Mytilus edulis: one gene and its partners. The protein of the gene in region 2 interacts with the protein of the main gene of each other region in a pairwise test. Links are inferred from orthologs where the notes say so. Each region holds a gene or a part of one and is shown on either strand. Other genes may lie near its edges. The genes, in order: rho GTPase-activating protein 26-like, epidermal growth factor receptor substrate 15-like 1 and proto-oncogene tyrosine-protein kinase Src-like.

Region 1 (8,128 bases), on a different chromosome or scaffold from region 2:
CGAATTGATAAAACTTTCTGTTGTGAAAACTGAAACTTCCAATTTATGTATCTAAAAATAGACAAATCAATAATAACTGACCTTGAAATGTCGTTTGCGCAAATAATTTTGCGGAACGAAACCTGTGTTTAAAGCCTTTACACATTATGTTCGTTTCCCGTATTTGTCTTCATTCCGTAAGATAGAAAATGGAAAATGAACTTGTCCAACCGTGGAAGACGGCAAGTTAAAGAACTTAATTAAAACATATCCTTTGGAATTTCCTTCAGACTTTTGTCATTGATAATTTAAAAAATATCCATTAAGATATAAAAAACGGGAATGCATGACAACTGATGAACCCAATATACTCGGTTTTTTTCCAGTGGAAGAGTCTATTACGTTTTTGACATGTGTGTTTAAACTTATTTTCGTACTATGTATTTGCATTTTTTTTTTTATCAGTTTTCGTGTTTAAAGATCATTAATCACTAAGTTTCGTGAAATTTGTTTACGGCTACGTTTGTAATATGACGATTTAATTTCGTCTTTGTCCATGGATACAACCCCCCTTTTTTCACAGAAAATTATTAGACAATGTCATGCGATGTTTATGGCAGCTGATTAATAATATTTCATCGATCCAGTATAAGAAATGATGATAAAATAGCATATTGTTAGAAAGGTAAAATGTATTTTTTTTTGCATATTTTTCTGTCTTGGGATATCTTTTTCCTTCTTCTATCCGACTGACTGACTCGACTTTTTCATGGGGAAATCCGTAAACCAACACATTAAAAAACCCTGGCCTAACATATGAAAGAGTTGTGAGAGTAAAACAAAAACAAGGAATGGATTTAAAGGAAGCTTTATAAAAAATTATAATTGAGAGAAAATGTGTTGCATTTTTCATTTCCCTGTATTAAAGTATGCTTTCAACCTCAATGGGAAAATGAACTAAAATAAATGTTATGTAGGCCCTGATGAGCTTATATAACAAAAATACACATATCAAAACACTTATCTGTCAACAAATCAACATACCACACTGTCCACAAACAGGAAGTCTCTGAAGTGTGTTACAAAAATAACAAAATGCTCGGTTCTTCTGTTGCCTGTGAGGAAGGAAAAAAATTTAACTATAAAAACTGATGCATTATAAATATATATATCGTAAAAGGGTTTTTTTTTTTGCTTTGGCGTTGACTTCTGTTTCCTGCTAATGTCTTAACTCTATTGGAAAGTCAGAGATGTAGAAAAGAACTTGAAAGCATGTGTAGATTGCAGCTTTACAAATATCATTTCATCAGAAAAGGATGAATCAACACAACATTTGATAGTACAAGTCACATCATGTTAACTACAAAGCTAATCAAGATTTAATATATAAAAATTTACTTGTTACAGTACTTGCTCACTTATTACATGTATTACATGTATTTTAAGTTATCAAATCTTCTTTTCTTTATTATGTTTATGTTTACTTACTTTTTACACGAATCACATTCCTGAAACAAAAGAACATGATTGTTAATACATTACTTCTCTTGGCAAGAGATTTTCAATAACTAATTTATAAACAGAATTTTTAATTTCCTGACCTTATAATTCCTATCAGCACATACATGTCAATTTCTGCAATCAATCTATGGAATGAGTTGCCAAATCATTGCAAAACTGAAACATCTTTTACTCAATTCAAAAGTCCAATATAAACCTTGTTTGAATGGCAACTCATGCCAATACAATGTTATGTTCTTAACATTTAAGTTTAAGGTTACAGAATTGAAACACATAAGTGCTGTACACAGGGCTGTAACTACATTGAGGCAAATGCCTCATGTTGGAAATTTCAAAAAAAAAAACAAAAAAAAACCAAAACAAAAGATTGTCTTCATATCAAATTGTTTTCACGGAAAGTGTCTTGCAAGACACAAGTTCTCTTTACTCTCAGATGTCGCCCTTGTATGTTTATCGTGGTCCATGTTTCTATCTTATTTTTAGTTTTCAGAGTTGATGGTCTATTGTCATGATTGTTTGTACTTCTGTGTCCCGGGTTTGTCTTTTGTTCATTTATTGTCCTACTTTATGACTATATAGATATAGGAAGCTGTGGTGTGAGGTCCAATGAGACAACTCTCCATCCAAATAGTCTGAGTGTTGATTTTCATTTGTAAACGTGTGGTTTTGCAATGTTGCATGTCAACCAATGTCCAGACATTGTACGAAAAAATATTTTAAGAATATTTACGATGCTACTGGACACAAAAAAATATGGTCGTTTCTGCATGGAGAATTGAACTTGATATCAAAGAATACAAAACTTGCTCTTTTTGTTGTAGATAAAACTAGATAGCTGACATAGTTTAAATTAAAGTAAGACCACCAATTTCTCGGTATCAAATCATCTATAAAAACATCAATGTATTGCCATATGATCTTTTACATTAAAGGGTTAAACTTGCATTAAGTCGTGTTCAGACCCTTTAACAGAAAATAAAAGAAGATGGAGTAAATGGGCACGGGACCTAATCTCACACAAAATTAATGCATAGAAAAAATACAAATGATTAATGGTCAAAGTTTGTATTCTTGTTCTTCATCTTGATAGTTTCTGGAGGGTCTTCAACAATAAAAGAATCATTAATACCGTAAAACAAGGTCAAGATGATCCTTAGTGTCGACTTAAGCAGTACTAGTACTTAAAGTATACTACTGCACTGTCACTATATATAAATCTAGTCACAAAAAAAATCACCAAAGTCTAAGAACAATACGAGACAAAGAACAGACAGACAGACGCGATTTTAATGATTGTGAGAATTACTATTTTTGCTTTATCCTTCATATCGGTCTACTTTTAATGTTGTCCCCGTAAAAGTCTTAAATTACAATGAATCTATGTTTTTGCCTTGAGACCAGAATATTGTCAAAAAAAACGCTAAAAATAAATTGCGTTTCAATGTAAGAAAGAGTCCGGGAAACGCTCAGAATGCACGATTTTGCTTTATTTTTCTCATAGCTTCTGGGGGCCTTGAGCGGCCCCCAGAACCCTTCGCCAAAATTTTTCGCCTCGCTACGCTCGGTGAATATATTTAGCCTCACTATTAAAAGAGGCTAGTTACGGCCCTGGTACATGTTTACCTCAAATACACCAATATCATGTTTTATCGCGCCAAATTTATACTTGTATTGTCACCTTGTTCATATTCCTTTGAGACGGCTTTGACATTAAATTTGGGTCTTTGTTGACTACCAAACTTTCTTCCCAGAATTCTGTATCAGAGGATGTTCAAGGCATTTCCTCAGAAATTCCTTGTATCAATATTATTATTTTATCGTGACCAACAAACAAAGTAATGTTTTTCAATTACAAATCAACAATTTACTGTAGACACCTTTACAAAATTAACAAACAAACTAGGCCAAAGAACATTTTTTTTTTTACAAGAACAGTTAGGTCCTTTAACATGTTTTCTGGAAACAAATACTATATATTAACAAAAAAGGCCCTTGGGGTTTTCAATAGAAATTGCCCTTGGGGTTTTCAATAGAAATTATAACAAGTATACTTGAAAGATTATAATTTGAGAAAATTTCTCGTCTGTACTAGCAAACTTTCACATAGATTTTTACTGTCCATACTGTTGTGCATTAGTTTTTTTCTACATTGACTAGAGGTATAGAGGGAGGATTGAGATCTCAAAAAACATGTTTAATCCCGCTGCATTTTTGGGCCTGTCCAAAGTCAGGAGCCTCTGGCCTTTGTTAGTCATGTATCATTTTTAATCTAAGATGCTTGGGTGTATAATTCAGAGTTTAGTATGACGTCCATTATCACTGAACTAGTATACAAATTTTCTTAGGTGCCAGCTGAAGGACGCCTCAAGGTGCAGGAGTTTCTCGCTGCATTGAAGACCCATTGGTGGCCTGCAGCTGTTGTCTGCTCTATGGTCGTGTTGTTGTCTCTTTGACACATTCCCCATTTCCATTCTCAATTTTATTTCACATAATACATGTGATAAAGTTATTTCCTTTGAAAATTAAGATCATGTCTGATGTTTAATTACGTTTTTTCTTTAATCAGATATAGCACATGCTGCATGAAAACACCTGAGACTGCCCAAAAATGTAGTCAATACAACAGTTTTGAACACAAATATGTCACCACAAAGGTGATCGGAAATATATTTTTCAATTTCTAAATGTAATGATATGATGCGAATAATATTTGTGTACCACAACGCTGCTGATATTTGTTACTCTATGCACCATTTTTGGTCATAAATTATATATGTAGTTTACACATACATTTGTAGCGGTGACTGAACATGTAAGTCATGATGAAATTATGTGCACAGAAATAAGATTGAATACTTAATGGAGTAAAAAACACTGTATATTAAGCATCAATTGTACTACAAATAAAAAATATGGTTCTTAAACAAAGTCAAAGATAAGCTAGATTAGAAATCACCACCCTCCCCCTTTCTTTATGAAATCTTGCTTTATTCATATAGATCTGAAGACTTTGTACCATAATGTAGTTGCATGGCCTTTCAACAAGTGATTTCTCTTGTGTTCTTATTTCTCTCTGTCTTTCTCTCTGCTTTTCCGCTTTTTTTCTTTGACCAGTTTTTTTCTTTGGCATTTTGTCTTTGACACTTGCACATGTGTATACCGGAAATAAAAAAATAATTTCTGAATGAATTGTACGCATGCGTTTTAAAACAGGAAGTAGCTATAATGTAGCTGTCAAAAATCACTCGGCCCCCCAAAAAGCTAAACATTTTGTTTCAAGGTGATACACAAATCTGAAAATGGGTCTTGAACCCCTTGAATTTGCGGAGTGTTTAACTGACAGTCCTGGTTTTCGTGAAAAACTTCACGATCATGAGAAAGAACTTGAGAGAACTAGCAAGGCTATCAAAGCCTTGATTGGTGATGGTAAAGAAGTCTTAGCAGCATCAAAAAGTATGTATTATGTGACGTCTAAATTAGGTTTCAAAAGAGAGAAGTGTCTCTGTTGTATGAAGTCAATTTAACATTAACGAAATGAAATAGTTTCTTTATATTCACAGATATATACAAATTATGTCTATTAATATTATGTAGCCCATTAGTCTTTAGACTTAGGCTTGGTAATTACAAAGAGGGTGGTTAAGGGTTATTTTTGTGCAACGTGATCACCGTTTTTTAATTGACGTTCAACATGTTTTTACTTTTTTATTTGACGTTCAGTCGTGCAAGACGGGTGCCTCGTTCAAAGTGTTCTGCTTATTTAATTTTACGTGCATCGTGATTTTCAAAGTCTTATTTTGCGTGCTCGGTATTTTTCAAATAAAATTCAAACACTTGGCAGGGATCGTCAAGAAATACTTTTTTAAAAGCCGTAAACCAATAATATCATAAATGTGTATACTAAATCGGGAATATCAAGTAAAACAAAGAGTTAACATATACAAGAAGACAGTGACTCAGTCACAAAAGGTTCAAATAAAAGTATTTATTTTTCGTGCAACGTTCAATACAGAAATTATTTCACGTTCAACGTGAAATTATGTCTTATTTCATGTTTTTGACGTGCAAGCATCCCCCCTTTACCACCCTCTACAAAAAATGTATAAAAGTTAACATCATCTATCAGTCATAACTTTGTAGCTTTGGAGTTGTTTGGCCATACATTGTAAGTCGATTCAGCTTTACAATTTGTTATTAAACTTCAATAGTGATTAAATAAGTGTCAATTATAAAGGAGGGTCATAATACACCTTATAAATTGCTAACCAGGCTGACCCCAGAATCGGACCCACTCGAACTTTTGTCGTCATACAACAATCACTTTTCCATTGTGGGTTTTGTTGTATTTTAATGTCAAAATTTTTCAGGAACCTGTGTGATGTCCAGTAATCTGGTAATCATGGTAATGGCGGAAAATTAGCAATAAGGTGTATGAGGGTTAACTTCATGACGAATAACAATAATAATTCATGCAAAATGGTGTTAATAGTATTTTTGTGGTGCATGTCAATAAAACGTACACTTTCTTTTAGAAGATGAAAAAAATAGACTGATTAAGTTATGTTTAGATACATGTAAATCACTTTAATTTTTCCTAAAATAACAGTAATGATAATTTTTTGAGACCTCTGAAGAATCTAGGTAAAATTTAACCAAATCGATGATAATGGTAGCTGTAAATTACTATTTGATGCCTACAATGGTTAAGGGATTTCCTATCCTTAGAAAGGTGTATGTCTAAGGCCAACTAAAATTAATTAGTAGATTTTCATCCAAATTTTTGAAAATAATGGGGCGGGTGGGAGGATTTTATTTTTTAAATTTTATTTCATATGAAACCCTTTTGTGACGAGTTCTTCGTATATGCAAGTGTAATAATAAGCTTGTATCATGTATACACAAGTATGAGGAATCTTACATAATATTTCAAATCCTTAAATAAATATATCTAATTGCGGCTTTAAAAACTTTTAAACAACAAAAACGTGTGAGAAATACTCTCTTCAGTTAGACTACCTACACAAAATGTATTTGGGTTTCTAAACAATGGTTTGTATTACCATAAAATGAAGCAAATGCATTGGTATGCAACACAATTATTATGAGTACAGAATAAAATGAAAGCTCAGAGAGTGTTGAAAATAATAGGGTTGGTACTTTATATGCAAGATGAAAATATAATTATCATGTAAAACATGAACTTAATAATTAAAAAAAAGTTGTTGTTTAATGAGTCTTTTTGGCTGTATTGTGACATTTGTCAACATAAAAAGACAGCCATGGGTAAAATCAAAGGGCTTGCATAAATAAAATGCGTATGTTAGTCGACTTTTTAAATTCAATAAACGGTCATAAATCTGACAAGTTCGTGCTTGTGTTTCAATATCTATAATTCAGTCATGTTTTCTGTATCAATGGTTTCCACGAATCTTGTGCTTTGGGTATCATTTACAGTTTAAATTTCCTGAGACAAAGTCATTGCATAAATAAAAAAAGTCAGCAGTTTTCTTATCACAGAAATGTGTGACATACTGCGATTTGCAGTCTTGGAAACAGCGTTTTTCTCGTAACACCAATATTTCATTGTCATTCTCGTTATCAATCTTTACTCTCGGAAGATGATGTTGTCATCATAGAACAGCGGAAAGGTAGACTTAATCATTTTGGTTAGATTACTCGAGGTACAAAACCGAAATTTGAAACAGGAAGCATTGAATGAAACGAAATTTTAACGGTTACCGGTAACGGGAATGAACAAAATCCGGAAATCGTAAATTTTATAAAATAAAAAAATTCGGGGCGGGGCGATTTCAGAGGGGCGGGCGGGGATGAAAATCTATCAATTAATTTTAATTGGCCTAATAATAAACCAATCAAATTGTTATTGAATCTAATCATTGTTTGTCAAAACAAGAATTTTTTAGTCTTTCAACTCGACAGAGTATTATTTTTTTTTAAACTAGGTTCCAAACCCTAATTCCTTAAAGCGTCATTGTTTATTTTTTCCAGGCTTTTACCATATTTTGGTTGCATTTAGAACTTGTGAAACTGCATCTGTAAATTGTAAATAGTTTCATTTACATTGTATGTAGAACAATGTAGAATTTTGCTTAAAATCAGGATTTCTTAAAATTTCATCTAATGTTAATTCATGTACATGGCCAAAGTAGCACAAAAATGTAGACAAAACAACAACATGAACAAAGGCTATGTGGCTCTGCGGCAGAAATGTCTGGTTTCCCATTAAGCATACATTGTAGCACTGACATTTTAAAATAGTCTGTAGACTTAAAATATAATGATATAGATTTAGAGAAAAAGAAGATTTCCAGATAAATGAAAATACATGTAATGGACTTAGAGACAGGGTCCTTGTATTAAAAGGCCTGTTCACTCATCCCTGAAAAAATATTTTCTGTCTGGAAAACTCTGGATGAGAACAGTCCTTTTCTCAAGAAGATTTATTTACAATGTACTGCTGTTAAAAAAATACTTGCTTGTCAAGTTGTTTTCAGTATAACCAGAAACTGACTTCCATTTCCATTAATTGCTTATAATTAATGGGTACAAATTAACTCCTAAGAAAGCTAGGTTATATAACATGTTGCTTTATTAATAATGTTCTTCA
Region 2 (8,369 bases):
TTCTAATTTCTCATTCAGTCAGGAATGTTCGAAGTGTCCTTTCAATATTGTATTCCGTTATCAATTAAATATAAATGGGGAAAACAAATGATAACTTGTACAGTCCTACACAAGTACTATGATAAAATACCAAAGCAGTTATATTGTTTGGTAAAAAAGTAAAACATATATCAGCTAAATAACTTAGCCTCTGTAAGAAATGTCCAAATGTTAGTACAGCTGTATTTATAAATATATATTGGCCTAATTATCAAACGGGTTGAAACAACTGGTCAACGGTTATTACTTTTTGATAGTCTTCTGATTATACTTAACGTTAAACACCAATATATATACATATATACTAGTATATATAAACAAGTCTAAATTAAAAACAATGTTCAAACCTATGATAATGATTGCGTTGGATAAAAACTAGTGTTGTCAAATCGTACACTTTTGCCTAACCGGTTACTCGGATAATCGTTCGACCGATTAACCGGTAGTTTAAGTTGATGTTTGATAGCCTTATCTATAGTACCCTACACATAGATATAAGAAGATGTGGTATGAGTGTCAATGTGGCAACCTTCTATCCAAGTCATACATTTACGCTTTTATAATACGATGAACTGAAGTTTGTCCTTTGGTGTTGTAAGGATTTTCTATGAAGATTCCTGGCGAAGTTTGACTTTTAATAATCAAATACACTGTATCAACTATGGCGTTTGTACTAACTTCAGATTGAAAAAAAACCTTCTTGATCTCGTAGAATTTAATATTGTCTGAAACTGATGTTTCTTTCACTTTGGCTTGTTGTCTCCGAAAATAATGCTTCAATTTAAAATGATTTAGCATGTTACTCGTACTATCAAGTATACATCGATTACATTCACACTGGTTTGCATATCACAATTTTTGAGTTAGCATTCCGTTTAAAGTAAGACTAGGAGATTGCAAATTCAGATGTAGGTCTACACAATATTAGATCAAAAACGAAATAATGAAGTAAATCGTAAAATTTAATCGTATTACTGATTTAAAGTTTCTGTTAAAAAAACATTTATATACTAATTATGTTTCTTTAAGAAATTGCCCCGAGCTGAGAGACAAGTTCTAATTAATTGTTTATTTTTGGATAAGCAATAGCAATCAATATACTGGACAATTGATCTGTCAACTTAATTACCAAGACGACAATTTTTAAAGAAAACATAATTGATGATTTCAATACAAATAAGTTAAAATCTATCAAAAGTGAAAAAATATCCGGTTAACCGGTTAGCGTATTTGGTATTCGGTCGTTCAAACGGTTAACCGTTGACAACACTTATAAAAACCGCAATTTTTATATAGTGTGCATGTAAAACAAATTTCGTTGTAGAGGGGTCTTAGTACGTCCAAACAAGTGACAACTCTACTAAAGATCCATTGGATGACCAGTGAAGGGGATACACGGCTTCAAACACATATTATATTCATAATTACTCTAATTATCAGCACAACAATAGTATATCCGCAAATTTGTTCATGGGTATATCGAGACAACACCGTCTGCATTCAAGACCGATCGACCACGTAGACTTAACTAACAATTCAGCTTTCGGTGGCTTAGTGTTACCTTTCCTCGTTAGTAGAATCTAGAGTTGTAACACAGTATAGTATATTAGGCATGACAATGGAATTGATTGCAGACTAGCTAAATTATCAGTCGTAAACGATAGGGAGATGCAATCACATAAATACCATCTCATATATAAAAGCACATCATGCAGAAATGCATCTAATATGTTTTTTTTCCCTAAACTAGAGTTTTTGCTTCTTTCCAAAATCAAAGTTGAGAATCTGGTAATCCATCAGATGAATGTTTCCTTCATGACAGTCTTGAACATAAAATTAGATACTGAATAAACGAATCTGTTTGACTTTCACTGTGCAACACAGTTAAACATAGAACCTTATTTAAATATTTTTGTCAGAAAACACTGTCAGACATCTTAACATATTATCCACACTTATCTACACTTGTTTAATACTTGTAAATATTATATAAAGAGAAACACCAGAGCATACTACACTTCATGCAATCGTCATCATGTTATAAAATGGTTAGTATTCGAGTAGGCAGATCTATGAAAGCTAGTTTCTTATTTTTATTAAGATAGATATGAGAAGATGTGGTATGTGTGCTAATGAAACAACTCTCCATCCAAGAAACAATTGGTAAAATTAAACCACAATAGGTCAGAGTACGGCCTTCAACACGGAGCCTTGGCTCACACCGAACAGCAGCAACAAAGCCCCACAATGACTAGTGTAAAACAATTAAAACAGGAAAACCAACGGTTTAATATATTTAAAGAACGAGAAATGAGAAACACTTGTGAACCACATCAACAAACGACAACCATGTGCAAACAAATGCAGCAGGTTTAAAGGTTATAACAGGCACTAACCTTCACACTAGCCTGAGGAAGAAGTGTAACAAAATAACATAAAAAGACACACTATAAAATACCTAAAAAAATTAGATTGAAATGGATTAACTAAAAATAAAAGACATATTTACAAAAACAAGTTAACATACAATGAACGAATAAATATTTTACAATTTAGCTCAAGATAGATTACTTACATAAGCTAAGGAAGTCAAAAGAAGTCATTTATCAACCGCATAATCGGGTGAGATAGAATATATGAAATATTGGGATCATTATAGAAAAACATTACCCCTGTGAAAAAAGTTAAAATACTGGTAGGTTTGAAGCGGTAATTGTGAGAGCAGCATTTAACTAACCAAATCAATTTTGATATATCGTATTATATTTGTATTGACTCGATCAATCTAACAAAAAAAATAAACTCACAAAAATACTGAACTTTGAGGAAGCTTCAACACGGAAATCCCTTATCAAATGACAAAATCAAAAGCTCATACGGCACACCAAACGAATGGACAAGGGTTTCCTTTTATTTTGTCTAATACTGCAGTCTGTAATTTCACATGTTTCATCATGAAAAAATACCAAAAAACCTCACATATTAGATTGTCGTTTGGTTTTTTTGTAGTATAGATTTTTTAAATTAGTAATATTTAACAAAGCCATAGTAGAATACCACTATTTAATAGTCATGAATCGATTCAACTAAAACAATCCGGGTCACACACTAATACTGAGGGAAAGACATCAAATATATAAGAAGGAAAAAACAGAACATCAAAAATGCATAATTGTTGAATTATACCATTTACATGCAAACAATTGTATAACCGCATTCAAAGCGGTGGGTCATGTAGGCTCAGGAGCCTGTAATTCAGTGGTTGTCGTTTGTTTATGTGTTACATATTTGTTTTTCGTTCATTTTTTTTACATAAATAAGGCCGTTAGTTTTCTCGTTTGAATTGTTTTACATTGTCTTATCGGGGCCTATTATAGCTGACTATGCGGTATGGGCTTTGTTCATTGTTGAAGGCCGTACGGTGACCTATAGTTGTTAATGTCTGTGTCATTTTGGTCTTTTGTGGATAGTTGTCTCATTGGCAATCATACCACATCTTCTTTTTTATATTGCTTGGTTTAAACGCCTGTGAGTAATATGATCGTATAAAAGTTCAAATGCAGAGCACATAAAATTAAAATTAAAAAAAACTGAAAATTCAAAAATGGGGAGTTCCTAATCAAATTGACTAAATCAAAATCTCAAACACATCAAACGAATGGATAACAACTGTCACATTCCTGACTTGGTACAGGTATATTCTAATATAGAAAATGGTGGATTAAACCTGGTGTCATGACAAGCTAAACCTCACACTTGTTTGACAGTCGTATACAAATTCCATTATATTGACACCAATGTGGGAACAAAAACAAACAACCATAATAGGTATAATGCCAAAAATTTTAATTTCTAACATCTTGGAACAATCAATGATTTTTTTAAATTATATAAATTATTCGTTCTTAAAGCATGCTATTTAAGTATACATTTGTCACTTTTATAAAACAAAAATGAACTATTTTATTTACTCTGTCTTTCAGTCAAAAACGAGTAACACGTGTGTAAAGGTATTGAGGTCAATTTGTTTAACCATCTTAAGTTTATACAGTAGATATGTGATATACATGAACTTTGCACATCTTCAGGGGCGGATCCAGCCATTTCAAAAAGGGGGTCCCAATCTAGAGTAAAAAGGGGGGTTCCAACTATGAGCTCCCATCCAAATGCATTGATCGTCCAAAAAAAGGGGTTCCAACCCCCGGAACCCCCCCCCCCTGGACCCGCCACTGATCGTATCTCTCTTATACCTTCCTATTTCTTTGACAAGCCGTTTGGTGAGCGGCCGATGGTTGCCATCGCTGCCTGAATGAAATCTACGTCTCTGTGACCAATTAAAAATACCAATTAACCACAGTTTAACTTGAAAAAAATAATCAGTAAAAAATAGTTTCAATGAACCAGATGCAGATCGAGAATTTAAAATAAAGGGGACCGGCGACAACTGGCAACATTTGGAGTGCAAGTTGTAAAAAGTCTTTGCATTAAAGTATATAATCATGATGTAGCTCAATATCTTGAGGACCTGGGCCGGCTCTGCTCCTTAAATCCGCCATTGTGGACCACATTCTGTACATGCTGTACTATAATTAAATCAAACTGCTGCCTGGCATATAGTCTATCTGACTCTCAAAAGTTTGCTTTTGTTTTAATTTCTGACATTAAATAATTACATTTTGGACGTAACACTTCTTTTATAAACTGACATAATTTTGGTCATGTGATCATGACATCATCAACGTTTTTTCATGATTTACTCCCCTAAAATGTAATTGAGAATTACGTAGTAAGCAATAACTGTAAAATTATTTTTTTATTCTCAAAATAATATAAAAGAAGTGGTGCAAACTGTTAATTAACCTAACTTTTAGTTTAGACTGGACTATTAGTGCTACGCTGTTATTCGGTGTGTACCACAGTTTTAGGTAACTTTTTCATAGATAGAAAATAAATGTTACAGTAAATCCTCGAATAACTGAGATTGCCAAGAACACAAATTCTCTAATTGTATCAATCGGTCTTGCTAAGATTTACAGTTTACTAGGAACACGAATTTGAATCTAATTCACCCGGAAATTCCAGTTGGACCGATACTGTTTTTTCACATAAAAATTAGACAGCACACGAACATTTCCGGTTAAGGATGTCAAATTTTCCACCACTTCCACAGGTTTGAAACTCTGTTATTCATTAAAAGGCGATACTTTTCGCCATTATGCACACTTTGTCGTAAACAATTAAGCAAATAGTAAGAAAATGTATTTCAATGGTCGAGTCGTTTATCATATTTTGCACTAGACAATTGACCTCAAGTACACGCAAATTATAACTCCTTCTGGGCGTAAGATATAATTGTTCTTTCTTCTTGTGTATTTGATTCTTTCTAAATAAGTTTAATTGTTAAAGAATCTTACTAAAACAAACTTAGCTGCCATACATTATATCCCAACACACAATTTTTTTCTGATACTACATTGTACTATTATTTGATCATGTCCCCTTCTAGTTTGATCACTTAACACATATTTTACACTTTAGTACAGAGTTCGACTTGTAACAAAGAAGAAGAATAAGTTCATATAGTACATCTTTGTTTGCTTTTCTCAAATTTTAGTCCAACAAAGCTAGATGTGCAAATTTGCATTTGCATGATTAGCATAAAGCAGGATTTGAACGATTCAATGTTTGTTCTCCCTTGTGCCTATTCCACCACATACCCGTTTGCCCTTGGTTCTGTTTGCCTGAATATCGTATTTATATTATTTAGATTTCATGGATGTCTTGTTGTTTAATTTAAAATATTTAAAAAAAAATATATGTTGAAGTTTGATGAAAATATTGTCATGATTGTAATGCTGCTACCAGATATAAATTATGTTTTCCGTCACAAGGTGACTAATATGATTAGTTCATTTGAAAAAACCTTTTTGATTTTCAAAAAAATGTATATATTCTTCATTTTGTTTTTTAATATTTACCATACAAATATCTGAATAAGTTTATAAACCTTTCTACAATCAATATTTAATTATTTTTTCTTCGTAAAAGTACATGGCAAATGAACCCAGGTCTAACTGACTCTATGGGTAAACTTGTTATCATGGTTATCTAGCCGAATGAACCAGCTTATACTCATTTGAACCTCTGCATATCTGATACATTGTGGTATTACTGTTTCCAGCACCAAACACCACTTAACTAACTTGGCTATATAAAAATACAGCTTTCATTAGTCAAGTATTACCTTTCCTTGTCGGCTTTATGTTGGGTTGTAACACTGAATATGAGATACATTGTATAGTCAAGTACTGCCAGATCGTATACCTTGCAGATCAGCTGTTTTTTTATCTGTCCAAAGGATGTTAATTTTACTCACATCATATTATAATTTTTACATGTACATGTATATTCATGTTTTTTAATTCTAACATGTAAAAAAAAAAGGTAAGAAGTATGTAAGCAAGATAACAAAAATTTATGAAGGTTTGTTAGATGAAGATGACCGTTCATAAGACAAAGATCTTGATGCTGAATGAGCAATACAGGCTCTTTTGAAACTTCTAGTACTCTACATATGTAAGAAAAAAAAAATTGATAACACAATTTATAGTTTGAATTTCATTTATTGATACTGTGTATTTTTAAAAATTTCAGATTGCTGGTAACCATGCATTAGTTTATGAAGCATATTATAATCAGGTATTGTTTAATGTTAGATCACTACATCAGATACATGTACTATTACTTAGCAAAGCACTATTTTAAAGTGATGTATACAAATGTAGCTAAGCAACAGAATTATATAAATGGGAGTGTAAAAGACCTTGACTGGCTATACAGCTCTTGCATGGTGGGTTATCAGAATTAAAGATAAAAACATAAGATTATACATATGTATGCATGTGCTGTACAACACGTAACTTAATCAGGCAGTGTTAAAAACTTGACAAATAGAGACCTACATAAATTGACATTGATTAATATTTCAGTTCATAAAAGGAAGAAATGTGCGAAAATAACTTTCTTTTTCGTTTCCTGTTCTGGTAATAGAAGATACAGTTTGTTTGAAATGCACTATGAATAAACAATTAAGGGGTGATAACTCTGTAATTTGCTTCATTCTAACCAAAACTTATCTGTCATGTCTGTAGTTCTTTTGAATTATCAGACATACAGAAACAAAAGACATACTATTTCTAGCTCAGGATGATGGTTTGTTCAGAATAGCATGGTAAGGTTGGTCATTTTTTTCTGACCATGTTTTGATATTTATTTGAATTGCCTCGTTTTTAAAAAGACTCGCTCTTGAAAGTATATTTGTAAATAATTATATATTTTTATGTATTTATAGGCTGATCCAAAAGGAACAGGGAGCATAGGAGCTTTAGATGCTGCAAATTTCTTGAAGAAATCTGGACTCAAAGACTCAGTTTTGGGACAGGTATTGTAATTTTTATCTGCAAAAAGTAAATGATTGTTCTTTAAATCCATCATGCTCAATACAATTTAACTGTCTTTTGGTATAAAAATTAGCTGATTTATCTTATATATTGTAGTATTTCTTGCAGCTTTTAGATTTTAGAAAATTAGATAAAATGGCTGTTATTGAATTTTGTGTGTAAAGGGAAAAAAACAAAAAAATGCATTTTAGTAATGACCACAAAGAACAATAAGACACTCAACCTCTAATTTCCTCCTGTAGAAATATAGGATTTGATGGTTTGCTATAATTCTGAATAGTTTATAAAAGAGAGAATGAAACTGCTAATTACTGCACATCAATATGCAACTAGCCACAGAGCTTTAGAAGAAAACATTACAGAACCTTAACAGGTTCAAGCCGAACAGACTAGCAATATGGTTATATAGTTTTCTGAGTACATTTATTTATGAGATTGGGGATAGTTGTGATTGGTGGTATACATGTACCTGGTAGAAAATGTTGTTCAATCAAAATGTGAGCCATTATAGATGACATGCAATGAGTACAAAATTGGTAAATAGATATAAAAAAGATATGGTATGACTTCCAATTCTCCATCCAAGTCACATTTTGTAAAAGAAAACCATTTTAGGTTAAAAAAAAAAAACGGCCTTCAACATGGAGACTTGGCTCACACCAAACAGCAAGCTATGAAGCTCATTTGATAAGAAATCATTTGCAAGTATTTGATGAAGTTTGTATGATAAGAATAAATTTTATGCTTTTGCAGATATGGGATTTGTCAGATCCAACCGGAAAAGGATACTTAGAGAAACCAGGCTTTTATGTTGCTTTAAAGTTGGTTGCACTATCACAGAGCAACCAGGACTTAAATTTACAGAATCTG
Region 3 (8,290 bases), about 47 Mb from region 2:
AAGTTCTTACTTCTTCTAGACGTTTGGATTATCCAACAAGTACCCTTTGTTATATATATATATATGGTGGTGTTTAACGACCTTGACTGGCTATACAGCCCTCGCACGGTCGGCTCGGTGCCCGAAGACGTTTGGTGAGCTTTAACATATTTTGATGCCGTGGGTCAGGAACAAGTAGTGGAGGTCGCAATATGTAGGCCGCCATCTTGGTTTTGGTGAGTTGTTTTTGGTTTGTTTACTATTTTGTTGTTTATTCTTCACTAACGGCTGCTTTCAGGGCCAGTTTGGTCAGCTTGGCAGCCCGCTAGCCTCGATGATGGAGTACTGGTAGATGATCTCGGACGTAGTTCGAAAGATGACAGGAAGCGTTATCAGGACCAAAGCCGTGAGGCAGTGAAATGAAAGTCGTATCACCCAACAGCCTAGGATACAGCCCTCGGACGTTAATCGGCATAACACTCCCCATGATACAATAATTTTGGAGTGCATGTTAAATTGACAGCACATCAGCTTATATACTAAGGTTTTGGACCATACCATTTAATTTGGACGATACCATATGTCTTATTCATATGAGTGTTTATAATAACCTAACCCTTAATGCTAAAACGTTTGAATGACGGCCCTTATGTTTACGACTTCCGATCTGAATATTTCCGGGTATGCTAACCACGACCGGTCCGTTACTGATTCTAAATATTATAAATATCCATAGCAATGTAAACAAACAAAACCAAAAACAAAACTTTCAAACATAACGAGTTCGTATAACAAAGTTTCAGCTTGATAAAAGAAATAAAAAGAAGAACACTAGTAAAATAAAACAGGTGAACCAAGTTCATCACATCACCCATGCCTCCAGGAAATGCGTCCCCGCATTTATCGAACACAATTGAGCACATCTACATCAATTGGACATTTTTCAGTCCCAAACTCTATCCGGGTATTGCCTCTGGCCATGCCATTTAAAAACCACAATTATAACCGTTACTTCTTCAGTAGCTAACCACTAGAACAACTCGTAGATGTGTGATCTACCTGACATGACACGATTCCCACTCAACTGTATACCATTGTCTTTGCACTGGAGGAAACGTTAAACATAGACATCAACTTAAACACATCAACTTTATCCTAAGAACCCTTACTTCTTGATTGAAACATGCATGCTGAAAGATTTTTGAGCAACCAATCTTTAACTATGAAAACTAACACGTCAAAATTACTTCTAAATGTTGGGCACTGGGAACACAAAATAGCTTTGAATTATTTATCTCAAACGCTAAACCTTATATAAGAGATTTAAATCAACGTAGTTGATTCCGGTTTAGATAGGTTTAATTATATTTTTTTTTGATAGATGCACAACCTTAAAATTTCAGGATACTGTTATCCCATGTGATGTCTAATATATTTCATTAAAAAAAAACCGACTTCTTCTTTTCATTATTCATTTTGTTATTAAGAATGATTTGAAATATTTCATGCTATTTATTTATAACTAAGAATAGTGCTTACATCAGTGATTACAGGTACCCCTCTTGTCGCCCCTTTATATTTTTGATATTTTAAGCAAACATTTAAAAAATTAAACTTTCAAAAAGTGAAATAATCAAAATTGCACGTTAGGTTTAGTATTTTAAAAGTTTGATCAAGTTTCTAAAATATCAAATTTATAAACGATATTTAGAGTTTTGATATTTTAATAATTTGGTTAAAATTTCAAAATTTCAAAACTTTAACACAATTTGAAATTTTGATATTTTAAAACTTTGATCAAAATTCCAAAAATCTAAAATTTCAAAACTTTTTATAACTTTGAATTGATAAGTGTTACACGGACCGAGTATCTACAGTACACTGAGAAAATGTTTTGAGTTAGCAGCAGACAATTAGGGACACATTAGTTACCATTAACATGGCATTCAGTTCTAGATCTTCAATGGGAGTTTTCGTACTATTTATGTTTGTGTTGGGCATGAGAAAATCATTTAAGGTTTCAAGTACTAGTGTGGTCACTTATACAAGATTAAACAGAATGGTGCTCCATATTAAAATATATATACAAATATTTAGCAAAGCTACATGTACATGCATGACCACTTACACACCATAATGACGATAACAAAGATGCTTAAGGACACTTGATAAACTTTAAAAGTGCATGGACACAGCGCAGTCCCCTATATTTAATAAATGATCTCATCAAGTTGTGCTTATCAACAAACTTTTCCTGTGAAGTACATATCTTGAAAGGGGTCTATTGTAATAGATTCTGCAGTATCTGATAAAAATCGTAACAGTTTTCTGTTAAGCTCACCGACTGTCACTATCTGATCTCTGTCAGCAACATTCGGAAGAGTGGGTGCACAATCCAGACAAGTTCAGACTTTTTTTATCATGCAAAGGATACAATTTGGATCAGAATCAGATTAAAAACAGGATAAATGGTAAAGCATCCTGAACAATATCTGATTGCTGTTGCAATTAAATAAATGTGTTTACAAATTTCCAGCCATTCATGAATCACATGATCTCAATTGATCTAATGTTTAGACAATTTTAATGAGGAATAGTTTAATATCAAGGACATAAATCTGAAGTCAGTATATATATATATGCACCACAATTACAAGTGTAAGCTCTGAATTGTACATTGAACAGTAATATAAAGTCACAATGTGTGATTTAAGCTTTTTAGATTATTAAAGAGAACAACATGAACAATGTCAGGCCAGAGACTGGCAGAGTTGTTATTTCTAGTATGTGTTTATAAGACTACACTAACACTCTGTCAATTTTCATATCTTAGCCAACAAGTTTTTTTTTTTTGTACATAAGCTCAAGCTGATGAATAATTCTTTCAGGCCTAGTCAGCTAACTTAAACTAGTGCAAAGTTTCTACAGGCTTTAAATATCAAATGCACCTGAGACTACTATAATGTGTTATAGTAGTCTCAGAATGCACCAGTACGGCTGTGGCATATTCTCAGGGTCTCTATAAAAATCTATTTTATTTGCGCAATGTCAATTCATTTCAAAGTATTGGGGAAGTCCCTACCTGGGAAATCAACAGGTAATGTACCACTGATGTGTATAAAAAGAAAGTTCATTTATGTTTATATCGTGATCTGACATCAGAGACAAGTGTGAAAACATATTGAAAGTACTCTCTTTCTTACCTTAGGTCTTTTTAAAGTTCGCCAAATAAAACCCTCTTCATTAATAAACAGAAAAATAACAGGAAGAACTTTACCAAAGTGGGTGAAACTTTAACTAGGAAGTAAAACTATATATATCTGTATCTTTTCGATTGTTTGTGGTACTTATCTTTACTAAGGGGAAATAACTCTTAATTTTAGCAGGTGCGAGTTTTTTCCGCGCTACAATTCAAATATGAATAGACAGAAGACACAAAACCATAAAGCAGAGGCGGATTTAGGGGGGACAGGGGGCCCGGGCCCCACTTTTTGGGGAAAAAAATGGTTGCTTATATCATAGGGAATCATTGAAGTGTGACTGGAGCGGGCCCGCTCTTATCTGAGGTCCGACAGTGGGCCCCCGCCACTTATGAAAATTTCTGGATCCGCCACTGTGAAGCTTTATTTAAAGTCGTTATAATGCAATAAAATTACAAGAAAATAGCTTGTTTTAAACAAAATAACAGATTTAAGGAATGGATATATTATGTAACCGGTCACTTGCACAGGGACTCGGTTAGCAGATATTTTTTCTAATCTATGTTTTTTCAGTATTATTCTATTATTCATGATTTGACTTTTGACGATGCGAATTTAAGCATGGATGCAATTTGGATACTCTCATTACAGAATCATTAATGGTTTGGAGGTCAGTTCAGACCAATTTTTCTGTTGTATAGTAAATAATGATACAAAATAATCACATAATGAAAACTTTTGTCAACTGTTATAATAGGTGAAATTTGGGTACCCTCACGTTACAGATATTGATAGTAAACTGCACATGGCTAGAAAACAAACAAGTATTGATGTCAACGTTAAAAACGTTAATAATGTAATACAGGAAATACGAAAAAAAAGATTGAAAAAAATTCGTAAGGGTTCCGCGGAACCCAGTGTCTCGCTTACTTTTGCTGTAAATCACATGCTCAACAATAATGAGAAAAAAATCAATAAAAAATATTTTTAAAAACTTTAACTGCAGACTATATGTTATGTTAACTGGAAGAAAAACTAAGTTCATTTATAAATAAGTAAAATACAGATACACAGGTACAAAATTTCCTTCTAGACAATAGCTGTTGATCATAAACAAGCTTCTGTCTAAGTTTGGTACAAATTAAAAATAGTGTAAGAAAGTTATTAACATTTTAAAAACTTTAACCACCGAGTGAATGTAATGTTTCCCTGCAAAAAAACTAAATCCATTTAAAAGTAAAATACGGAAAAAAGGATTATTCTTTTTACAAAATTTACTTCTGGATACTATTTTAAGATCATAAACACGTTTCTGTCCAAGTTTGATACACATTAAAAATAGTATAAGAAAGTTATTAAAATTTTGAAAACTTTAACCACAGAGTGAATGTAATGTTTCCGAGCAAAAAAACTAAGTCCATTTAAAAGTAAAATACGGAAAAAAACGGAATTTTATTTTTACAAAATTTACTTCTGAATACTATCTTATGATCATAAACAAGCTTCTGTCCAAGTTTGGTACAAACCCAGGATAGTTTAAGAAAGTTATTAAAATTTTAAAAACTTTAACCACAGAGTGAATGTTATGTTTCCCGGCAAAAAAACTAAGTCCATTTAAAATTAAAATACGGAAAAAATGGAATTTTATTTTTTATAAAATTTACTTCTGGATACTATCTTATGATCATAAACAAGCTTCTGTCCAAGTTTGGTAGAAATCCAGTACAGTTTAAGAAAGTAATTAAAATTTCAAAAACTTCAACCACAGAGTGAATATTTGTGGACGCCGCCGACGCGACGACACCGACGCCGACGAAATGTAGGATCGCTATGTCTCGCTTTTTCGACTAAAGTCGAAGGCTCGACAAAAACAGAGACATATAATACTTTAGTGTTATATGTCTCTGAAAAAACATAGATTAAAAAAAAATCTGCTAACCGAGTCCCTGTGGTTAAAATGGCATAGATTGATTAAAGATTTGTATAGTAAAAAGCCAGTCCTTCTTTGGTCATCTTTTCCATGATACGTTTTATGCATAATTAGGAACATCTAGAGCTGAAACACTCATTACCGTATGAACTTGTCGCATGATAATGATGATCCGTGCTTGATGACAAACATCTCTCTCAGTGGTGGATCGAGGGTGGGGGTCCGTGGGGATGGAACCTATCTTTTTTTGACGATCAATGCCTTTGAGTGGTGGACATATGGTTGGAACCCATCCTTGTAACCTTTTAGACCCCTGTCTGTTTCCGAGAGTCTTCGCCATCGCAATCGAAACAAGTGCAGTAACTGTATTTTTTTTGTCGGTAGGGACGAGGGATGGATACATATACCCTACTCATTCCAGTCTTTATTTATGTCAGGGACTTTCTATACTCCCTGTTTATGTTTGATGTTTTAAATGCTTTGTACCGACGAGTTAAGACTTTTTCAACTTATAGTTTTTTTTCGCATGTTGTGCTGTTACACCACCGTCCCAAGTTTGGGGAGATGGTTGAGCGTGCATTGCAAACATGTTTAAGTCCGCCACATATATTATGTACCGTCACTGCCTGTCCCAAGTCAGGAGCCTGTAATTCAGTGGTTTTCATTGGTTCTTGTCTTGTCATATTTGATCATTTTTTAAGTTGTTTTTGCATGGTATAAATTAGGCCGTTAATTTCCTCAATTCAATTGTTTCATATTTTTCATGTCGAGGCCTTTTATAGCTTACTGTACAGTATATGGGTTTTTCTCACTGTTGAATGTCGTACGGTTGCCTGTTATTTCTTTCAACCACTTTATTTGAACTTGGTGAATATTTGTCTCATTTAACAATCATACCACATCTCCTTATTTTTAAACGAAACGAAACAAAATACAGCTGTACAAATATAATTGTTTGAACTTTCAACGGTGAAACATGGAAAATGAGTCGACAGATATATCTAGCTATTTAAAACAACAAAACTTTAAAACAGATTACGTACCCTCAGGAGGATTTCTGTGCATTCTTTGATGTAATTTCAAATTGTAGGTTATTTTAGTTGTTAAAATTCATTATTTATGATACCATTCTTATATTTTTCTGCAAGTTTCAAAAATCATCATTCAGACGTATGAGAAATTTTACCAAAAGTTAAAAGTACGAATAAAGTATCAAATAAAAGATACACACATAAAATATTGAAAGAACACTAGTGTCAGTACAATTGTATTTTAGTCATGATAACAATGGCGGATCAGAAAATGACTACGTTTTTAACAAAGCTGTCAATAACAGCGATTATCAGCATCTGATCTCCAGCCCCATTATCCTAAGTGACAAATGTATTGAGACATCATGAAATACTGAGCGAGGGATACAATCACCAATGAAGTTCCTGACTATAGTGACAGTAACACGAACTTCAATGTTGCAACTTAAATTAATTTGATCTCAATCAACTTTTGATTCTGGTCAGTCAGTGTCATATCAAAGGTACACAGACGAACGTACAACAAAAATTCGGAAAAACTGTCATTGTTGCAATCTGGCATTACGACCTGCTTGTTGTATTTCCTAGGTTCTACACTTTCTACTATAAAAAAGAAGATGTGGTATGATTGTCAATGAGACAACTATCCACAAGAGACCAAAATGACACAAGACATTAACAACTAATGGTCACCGTACGGCCTTCAACAATGAGCAAAGCCCATACCGCATAGTCAGCTATAATAGGCCCCGACAAGACAATGTAAAACAATTCAAACGAGAAAACTAACGGCCTTATTTATGTAAAAAAATGAACGAAAAACAAATATGTAACACATAAACAAACGACAACCACTGAATTACAGGCTCCTGACTTGAGACAGGCACATACATAAATAAAGTGGCGGGGTTAAACATGTTAGCGGGATCCCAACCCTCCCCCTAACCTGGGACAGTGCAACATAAGAACGAACTATAAAAATCAGTTGAAAAAGGCTTAACCCATAAGATGGGCAAACATACAAGTAGACGTGGCCGGGTACTTATACATCCCGACACAAAAAGACGCAATGAACAGATCTGAGAGTACTCGCAGTTATCTGACAGCTAGTTCAAAGCCACTAACAACTAATAAAAAATCATGCATCTAAGAGGGGTCATCTAAGACTAAACTATCAATCCGTACACATCCAACATCCAATGGATTTAGTGTAAAGACGTCATAAACAGCCAGAGAAAAACATGACCTTGTGCAATGCCAAGTTACAGGTATCGACAGATTGTAGCTCCATGAATATGTATATGTATATAACATACTAGTAATATTTAGTTAGCTTTTAATTTACTGATAACAAAATCAATATTTATACCAATAAAAACAATATTTAATGATCTTATTACAGTGTTGAATAGGTAACCTTTTAGAATAAGTTTATTTAAAGGAGCGACAAGTTTACATGGATCATTCTACTATGTTTTCTTTGGAATTAGATGTGGCGGTTAATGCGTGCATACGAGAACTGATCTCAATCCGTTTGGAGTATATTCGATTATGATTTTTGTCATTTTCATTTTTGTATGTATTGTTGGTCTTTTTCTTGTGTTTTTAATTTTCTGTAGTAAATATTTTTTAATATTTTCACATTCCACACAGAGGAAGAGTAGAGAAACCATGCAGTGCCCTTTCATAGATGCCATTGAACTTGAAGACACATTCATGGAATTATCAACATTCATGAACTTGCAGTACTAAAACATAAAGTATAAAATATATATGTTTTTAAGTACATGCAGTTTATTTTCAAAAGTTACTATCATTGAAATACATTTGAAACATCTATTTCGATGGAACGATGGGTCGTCAAAAAAACACGCTACTGATTAAAATTCATCTAAACAACAGATGCAATTTTCAAGTTCAGTTAAGCCAGAAACACATTTTAGTATCTATGTCTCTAGTTAAGTTCTTCAACATAAATCGCTTCACATAGATGCATTTATTTTTTTGTCATTCTCTGCAGAGAAATATATACTACTATAATGTATTATATGCGTCTGCTTCCTGTTAGTTGTGTGTTTGAACTTCATAAAAAATGAAAGTTAGAATAAATGTTCAGTAACCTACTAAATCTTACCAAACTCTTAATTGAC

Evidence for each region.
Region 1: the proteins of epidermal growth factor receptor substrate 15-like 1 (region 2) and rho GTPase-activating protein 26-like interact in a two-hybrid assay, tested with the Caenorhabditis elegans proteins (2 studies listed by BioGRID). The link is inferred for Mytilus edulis from reciprocal best matches to the Caenorhabditis elegans genes ehs-1 and T04C9.1.
Region 3: the proteins of epidermal growth factor receptor substrate 15-like 1 (region 2) and proto-oncogene tyrosine-protein kinase Src-like interact in a two-hybrid assay, tested with the Caenorhabditis elegans proteins (2 studies listed by BioGRID, with this or other methods). The link is inferred for Mytilus edulis from reciprocal best matches to the Caenorhabditis elegans genes ehs-1 and src-1.

Annotation. Positions count from the first base shown.
Region 1 is NC_092351.1:29,716,994-29,725,121, forward strand, and holds the start of rho GTPase-activating protein 26-like, read left to right. Parts: upstream 1-4,699; 5' UTR 4,700-4,799; coding exon 4,800-4,953; intron 4,954-8,128. Other genes in the region: zinc finger protein 330 homolog, read right to left, coding at 1,024-1,094, 1,468-1,487, 4,517-4,630.
Region 2 is NC_092344.1:33,435,014-33,443,382, reverse strand, and holds the start of epidermal growth factor receptor substrate 15-like 1, read left to right. Parts: upstream 1-5,146; 5' UTR 5,147-5,182; coding exon 5,183-5,209; intron 5,210-6,693; coding exon 6,694-6,738; intron 6,739-7,390; coding exon 7,391-7,480; intron 7,481-8,252; coding exon 8,253-8,369.
Region 3 is NC_092344.1:80,770,532-80,778,821, reverse strand, and holds the start of proto-oncogene tyrosine-protein kinase Src-like, read right to left. Parts: upstream 3,338-8,290; 5' UTR 3,183-3,337; intron 1-3,182. UniProt on the Caenorhabditis elegans protein: Non-receptor tyrosine-protein kinase which plays a role in endoderm development by controlling spindle orientation in EMS blastomere, probably downstream of receptor mes-1.